Linked DNA regions of Macaca fascicularis. The protein of the gene in region 2 purifies or fractionates together with the protein of the main gene of each other region. This does not show direct contact. Links are inferred from orthologs where the notes say so. Each region holds a gene or a part of one and is shown on either strand. Other genes may lie near its edges. The genes, in order: STRN and SIKE1.

The links.
Region 1: the proteins of SIKE1 (region 2) and STRN purify together in Homo sapiens (affinity purification with mass spectrometry; 4 studies listed by BioGRID and IntAct, with this or other methods). This does not show direct contact. The link is inferred for Macaca fascicularis from reciprocal best matches to the Homo sapiens genes SIKE1 and STRN.

What each region holds. Positions count from the first base shown.
Region 1 is NC_088387.1:85,337,110-85,340,938, reverse strand, and holds part of STRN (striatin), read right to left. Parts: intron 2,066-3,829; coding exon 1,958-2,065; intron 792-1,957; coding exon 705-791; intron 619-704; coding exon 449-618; 3' UTR 1-448. UniProt on the Homo sapiens protein: Calmodulin-binding scaffolding protein which is the center of the striatin-interacting phosphatase and kinase (STRIPAK) complexes.
Region 2 is NC_088375.1:119,594,790-119,598,618, reverse strand, and holds part of SIKE1 (suppressor of IKBKE 1), read right to left. Parts: intron 3,619-3,829; coding exon of another isoform or gene 3,586-3,618; exon of another isoform or gene 3,443-3,585; intron 2,183-3,442; coding exon 2,069-2,182; intron 97-2,068; coding exon 1-96.

The DNA.
Region 1 (3,829 bases), on a different chromosome or scaffold from region 2:
ACTATTTTGACTATTTAATGTGTTTAATAAGATTTCGCAGGGGAGAACTTGGCCTAACTTTCCCGTTTTCTTCTATTCAGTCCCAGCTATCAAGCTTTTTAATTATCCATTGTAGCATGCCCTACTTACTCAACAGGGACAAGCTAAACTTGTATTCGCTCAGGCCTGCCTAGCGAATTAGAACAACCTCAGAAATAAAGATGCCTATTGGGGGAAATTTGAAACAGACCTCAGGCTCACAGATTCAGCTGAGCTTGCAGCAACCTGAACAAACCTTAGTTTTAGAAAACAGTATATGAATTGCAAAACTATACTTCAACAAATGTTCTCTGTGCTCCTTCAGCAGAACAAAAGGGCAGGACGAGTTGATTCTTGCCCTCGTCTTCTGTATCTCTTTTGTGCAGTTGATTACTTATAAACAGCTAGAAGGTGAAGATGATACATTGCGTCATACAAAGACTTTAGCCAGTGCGTCAGCTCCAGCACTGGCTATGTAGCATTTGGATGGGTGGAAAGCTACATCATGAATCGATTCTTCAAACTTTTTTCGATGAGCTGTGAATTCTTGGATACACGTCTTACTTTCTAGATTCCATAAACGTATTGAACAGTCATGACCTATACCCAAAAAAAATTGAAAGGAAAAATTACATTAACATGAAAATGGTAAGGACAAATAAATAATCCACAGTTGAGGTACTTACTGCCAGACATCAAATAAAGGCCATTAGGATCAACTGCTAAACTTGTAACAGCTTCTAGGTGGGCTACCATCGAGTGGATCAGTTTGCCTTTGGAAAAAGAGATGGATATTCCTTATTAATGCCTTTCCTCATCGTCTATATATGCCAGTTACCATGTCATGCTGGTGTCTCCAGTCATCCCTCTCTGTGTGCTTACTGTATGAACAGCTTTTTCCATCAACTAAAACAACATGTCTCCCCTCTTGCCTCTAGTCATGGCAATGACACGGAAAACCAAAAAAGCTCAAATTTTAGATTACACTTTTGTCTTTTAATCCACAATATGGAAGTCAGTAATTTCTACACACACCCCTTAAGCCACATTTGTTAATTAGAACGTAGACATTATTAATCACCTACTTTGCATTCTTTAGCTACTGGCAACTTATGAGTTGTGGAAACACAGAATTCAAATTCACAGAGAGAAAACAATGACGCAAGGAAAAAGGGACAGAAAGAAAACATGGCCATAATTTTGGTGGATACAACATATAGAAAAAAATTTTAAACATTAAATATTCATCACCAGCAGCTAAACAAAGTCACCAAAAGTCAACATGTTAAAGGCAGATACTTAGATAAATATGGCAGCTAATATACGGTGCTTTCCTCCCAGCACAACGCTTCCTAAATTTCCTTTATACTGGTGAAATGTAGTAAAATAAAACTTGGGCAAGTCTCCATGCACAATTCAAATCAATGAGGACCAACTAGTCAGTTTTATAACACAGAAAATATTAGTCCATGGAAAAACGAATACAATGACCTGGAGGTTTTCCATCTGCAACACTAAAAAAGGCTATTTGATAACGGAATAATTGAATATTGAATAATGCTATTCAATAATTGAACAACATAATGACCATATGCCTCTATTTCCAATGTTTCTACTTTTCCCCAACATATACTACTACAACAGATCACAGTAACAGATCATTTTTATTGGTATTTGAGTGAATTTTTCCTGGTGTCCCTAGTGATAACCTTGGCTCTAAAGCCTACATATAGCATTTGCTCACTATTAAATAAACCAAAATGATTCTGTACTAGTCTTAGCAGATTTGGATGGAATGAAGAGAAACTGAGCCGGGAGAGTATCTGTGTTTCAGTGCCTATTCCCTGACTACGAAACCACCAACAAACACCAAAATTAGCCTACTTGTGGTAGGGATTTTTTTTTCTTTAATAAAAATCAATTCTTAGTAAGTTCTTACCTGTATTGTTATCATAGAATTTGATGTGCCTGTCTTCATGAGCAGTGATGCTGATCGGAAGAGTAGGATGACTGATGACTCTATTTATTTGGCAGGAAGAGTTGGCTGCTAAAAAGAAAAAATTAAAAAGCAACACAATTTAGTCAAAGATATTTTTCACATAAAGAAGAACTAAATTATCTGCCTAAGAGACTGAAAAAGTAGGCTGGCCATGGTGGCTGAGGCCCATAATCCCAGCAAGGTGGGAGGCCAAGGCAGGTGGATCACGAGGTCAGGAGATCGAGACCATCCTGGCCAACATGGTGAAACCCTGTCTCTACCAAAAACACAAAAATTAGCCGAGTGTGGTGGCGCATGCCTGTAGTCCCAGCTACTCAGGAGGCTGAGGCAGAAGAATCATTTGAACCTGGGAGGCAGAGGTTGCAGTGAGCCAAGATTGTGCCACTGTATTCCACAGCCTAGGTGTCAGACCGAGACTCTGTCTCAAAAAAAGAAAAGAAAAAAGAAAAAAAAGAAAAAGAAAAAGAAAAAGTAAATAATGTGACTTTTATTATTTGTTTTTAGTTTATTTATGCTGTGATTGTTTTCAAAATTTCAATGTTAGGAAAGAGAATTGCCTGAGCTATACTATACTGATAAATCTGGAAATATTTATAAATTATAATTTCCTGCTATATGTGGGTGCCACCTAAGGCTTAGTCTAGAACCACTAACACTGTTCATTCTACAACGTTCTGTAAGATTTTGCTATTTTAGTATAAGTAAGTTCTATCATCACTTACAGGGAGGTAATTCTCAAATTTAAATCTCAGCTCTTTTTGCATACAATGTTTTGTATCACATCATTATCATCTAAAGATAAATATGACAAAGAGAGCTTCTTAATCCTTAAATCCCTTTTTCACTCTTCCTCATCATAATAGAAATGGTCATCATTTGACAGAACCAGGTTTGGAATCCTAAAAGTCAGCATCTTAACTGTATTTTTTGTTAGTAAGTTCCAAAGAAACTTCAATTATATATACAATGCAATAGGAAAGCACATATCAAGCCCATATTACAGTGAACACATCAAGGTCCAGAAAAAGTTGTGACTCCTCCACAATCAGGTGACAATATCAGTACCTATTCTAACTTCTAACTCTCTCCCAACCTGATGGTTCATGCAGATCACACAACTGCCAAAATTGGTTCCTAAATGATCACACATTCTTCCTGAAAGGGTTTTATTAAAAAGAAATCAGTAATTTAAAACCTAAGTGATTTCTGTTAAGCTTTTTTTTAAGAGAAAAGAAACACTGACAAAAAGAAAACACTAATTGAAGGTATGTCAAAGTTTTAAAAATTAAATTATGGTCCAGGGAGAGAAAGGGACATCCTTGTAAAGTATATTACCGGGACAACTGTCAAAATTTGAATATAAATAGTAACTCAGATAATAGTATTGTGTCAATGTTAAGTTTCCTGATTTTGATCATTGTAATACACTACATCAGAGAATGTCCTTGTTCTTAGGAATTACACGCTAAAGGATCTAGGGGATAGGAGCATGATGTCTCTCATACGGTTCAGAAGTTAAAATTATACACATATATAGAGTGAAAAAGTAAATGTGACAAAATGTTACAAACTGCTAAATATGTGTGAAGGGTAGCCAGGAGTTCTTATACTGTTTTTGTACCTTTTCTGCAAGTTTAAAATTATTTCAAAATAAAGTGTTTTAAAAATTTTTTGAACCCTAGAATAGGTATTACAAGTTTATATTCGCATAATAGAAAATACAGCTAAAAACAGTCTAATCTTACAGAATTTTCATGTGGCTCCTAGAAATATGACATCTTAAAAACTGAAGATAGTTTATTCCCAAAGATA
Region 2 (3,829 bases):
GATGGCTTGGGAAGCAGTGTCCATTGAGTTTTCCTTTCTGGCTTGAAGAGACTCACTGCTAATGGACAATAATTCTCGAAGTTCCTTATTTTCAAGCTGGAAAAAAAAAAGGCATGTTTATTTCTGGTATATTTACTGTCAAGCTGCATTACAACAACACATTATTTTGAGCCAGGAGCAGAAAACATTATTTTTAATTTAAAAAATTTTAAGGAAACAAAAAACCCACTAGTTGAGAATTTCCTTAAATACTACTTATTTATTCATTTAACAAACATTTACATGTAGGATGTAGGCAATGATACTCTTTTGTAGTAGTAATTTACTGAGTAATTTCTATATACCAAGTGTTACAATTACAAAGGAGAAACAAAAAACAGGGTCCCTCTCCATTTGAGGAATTCACTATGTTTTATTCTTCATGGTTCCCACAGTTTTACTATTATTTCTTTTATTTAAAAAATTCCTAATAATCGTTTCACTCTGATTAATCTCCTCTCCTGGATATCTTATAGTTCCAGAGAAATGGAAGGAAAGGGGGAAAGAAATTACTTATTGAGCATGTAGCTGGGTACTACTTGGGTGCCCTGTATATGCTATCTCACAATGATCTGTAGGGTAGGTATCATTGCCTACATCCATGTATTTCATGAGGATGCTCTGGCTCACAAAATTCCTAAAAGTTGTCCAAATTCAGACAACTTGGATGTGGTATTACTGGGGTCTGAATCTAGTGGTCATGTTTTTTCTACTTGAAGTATTAAGGTAGAATTTGTCCCACATTTCCTTAGGGCTGTTTCCATAAGTGAGGTAAATCGAGGATAAATAGAAGGTCATGCTATCATTTCACTAGCTCCTAATTCCTCCTTGGGACCTGTCACTACCTTTGATTTCTAGAGAGAGTAGCTTCCGCTCTTCATCCTTATTCTCTGCAGAAAATTCTGGTAAACCAAAGCATTTTTAGCTTCACCAAGATGTGCGGAAGTCCCAGCTAGAGTAACTAAGAGATTAGAGCCTGTGGTCGATGAATCTTCAGTATTTGTATCTGTCTCCTAGCATTTACATACTATTTAATATCATATGATACTAGGATTATCCCTTCCACTAGACTCTGGGCAGGTACCTGTGTTTTTCTCTCTGGTATTTCTCAAAGGCCCCAGGACAGTACCTTGTAATAAGCAGCACACAAACCATTTACTGAAATGCTTCATTTTTTTTTTTTTAATTTTTCAGACAGGATCTCATTCTGTCGCTCAGGTTGGAGTGCAGTGGCATGCATGATCATGGCTCACTGCAGTCTTGACTTCTGGGTTCAGGTGATCCTCCCACCTCAGCCCCTGAGTACCTGGGATTATAGGTGCACACCACCACACCCGGCTAATTTTCTGTATGTTTTTTGTAAAGACAGGGTCCCCGCCATATCGCCCAGGCTGCTCTTGAACTCTTGGGCTCAAGCAATTCACTCACCTCAGCCTCCGAAAGTTGAAATCCTTAACAATTTTATGAGCACACTAATGCCCCAAACCCTTTTTTGTGCTCCCTTAAAATAGGAATATTAAAATATTCCTATTTTAATCAAAATATGACCTAACATAGCTTTTAAGAAATCAAGACTACAAGGCTTATACAAGCAGTTCTTTGGCTTTGTAACCCAAATGCAACCACTTTTAACACTTTTATCTATTTCTTTTGGTATTTAATTCTGTAATTCTAAATAATATGCTTATACTGCTATTTCCTGATCATTAATTTTAGACATTATCTACTTCACTTATTATGGCAGAAGAAGGATTTTATCTCACATATAACTTCTCCCCTCTACTCCCTCTACCTTCCCATTATAATATCTCAAGTTATTGCCAATACATAGTTGGTATTTCCACTGATTGCTGTTTACTATATTTCCTTTCTTCAAAAGGATATCAAAGAGTATGAAGGAGGAGTTTTAATTTTAAATCATGAGCACACAGAAAACATTAATATATTACAGTGATGGGATAGTGATGGCATATCTTCCAGACTCCGAAAACTCTGAAATACTGTGAACCTAAAATAGCTACAATCTTACCTCTAATTGGGCTAATTTTTCCTGAATCTTACAAAACTGGTCATCATCCACCTGAACTGCTCTCCTCATCACTTCTCCCATTTCGCAGATTCTGTCAATCTGACTCTCAATTTCCTGTGAAGATATTAAGGAAACAAAGGTGGAAAAGTCACCTGTTCTCTCTATATAAAGAACATAAAAGTGTGTGCATTATGATTTTTAAAAGTTCATTTAATCTATGATACAGAAGTTACAATGGAGTTTCACTATAATTTTAGTCCTTAGACATAAAGCCATAGTAAAGTGATCTTGTGGTATTCACAGATAATTTTTTTTTTTTCCAAAAAATCAATTGTGCAAGACAGTGTGGCGATTCCTCAAGGATCCACAACTAGAAATACCATTTCACCCAGCCATCCCACTACTGGATATATACCCAAAGGATTATAAATCATGCTACTATAAAGACACATGCACACGTATGTTTATTGCGGCACTATTCACAATAGCAATGACTTGGAACCAACCCAAATATCCATCAATGATAGACTAGATTAAGAAAATGTGGCACATATACACCATGGAATACTATGCAGCCATAAAAAAGGATGAGTTCATGTCCTTTGTAGGGACATGGATGAAGCTGGAAACCATCATTCTGAGAAAACTATCGCAAGGACAGAAAACCAAACACCACATATTCTCACTCATAGGTGGGAAATGAACAATGAGAACACTTGGACACAGGGTGGGGAACATCACACACTGGGGCCTGTCGTAGGGTGGGGAGAGTGGGGAGGGATAGCATTAGGAGGAATATCTAATGTAAATGACGAGTTAATGGGTGCAGCACACCATCATGGCACATGTATACATATGTAACAAACCTGCACGTTTTGCACATGTACCCTAGAACTTAAATAAAAAAAAGAAGGCCTCCTTAAGGGGATCCTCATTCCAGTTGTATATGTTCTATTGATACCATTACTAAGGGATACAGTTTTTATTTTTTTATTTTTTATTTTTTGAGACGGAGTCTTGCTCTGTGCCCCAGGCTGGAGTGCAGTGGCGCGATCTCGGCTCACTGCAAGCTCCGCCTCCCGGGTTCACGCCATTCTCCTGCCTCAGCCTCCCGAGTAGCTGGGACTACAGGCGCCCGCCACCTCGCCCGGCTAATTTTCTTGTATTTTTAGTAGAGATGGGGTTTCACCGTGTTAGCCAGGATGGTCTCGATCTCCTGACCTCGTGATCCGCCCGTCTCGGCCTCCCAAAGTGCTGGGATTACAGGCTTGAGCCACCGCGCCTGGCCAGGGATACAGTTTTTAAACAAATATATAATGTTTCTTATATTTAAAACCAAGAAGTGAAGAGTAGAATGCATTTTCTGTTTTCACTCTTTGCCCAGACATCAAGTTGATAATCCTATGGTTATCAGTGATATGCATCAGCTCATAAGTAACCCTTCAGTATGTGAACATGGGGAATTTTTAAATACTGGGCTCTTCGATATGGATTTGTGTTACAGTCATGTTATCTTCTCACGCCTTCCAAGATTTCAAAGGATCTGATGGCTGTAATTGCAGAGAATAAATGAGTAATCTTTAGTCTATTTCAGAAATAGAAGGCCAGATGATTCCCTTTCCATAAAGGATTAAGTTTTCATCCAATGCCAACTCTGATAAGGCCTTAGTCATTTCTGTGGGTGAAATCTGATCTGATGCAAGCAATGTTATTTTCATTTCTGAAAATTATCTATGTCCAGTGCATCAATCACCCAATAGG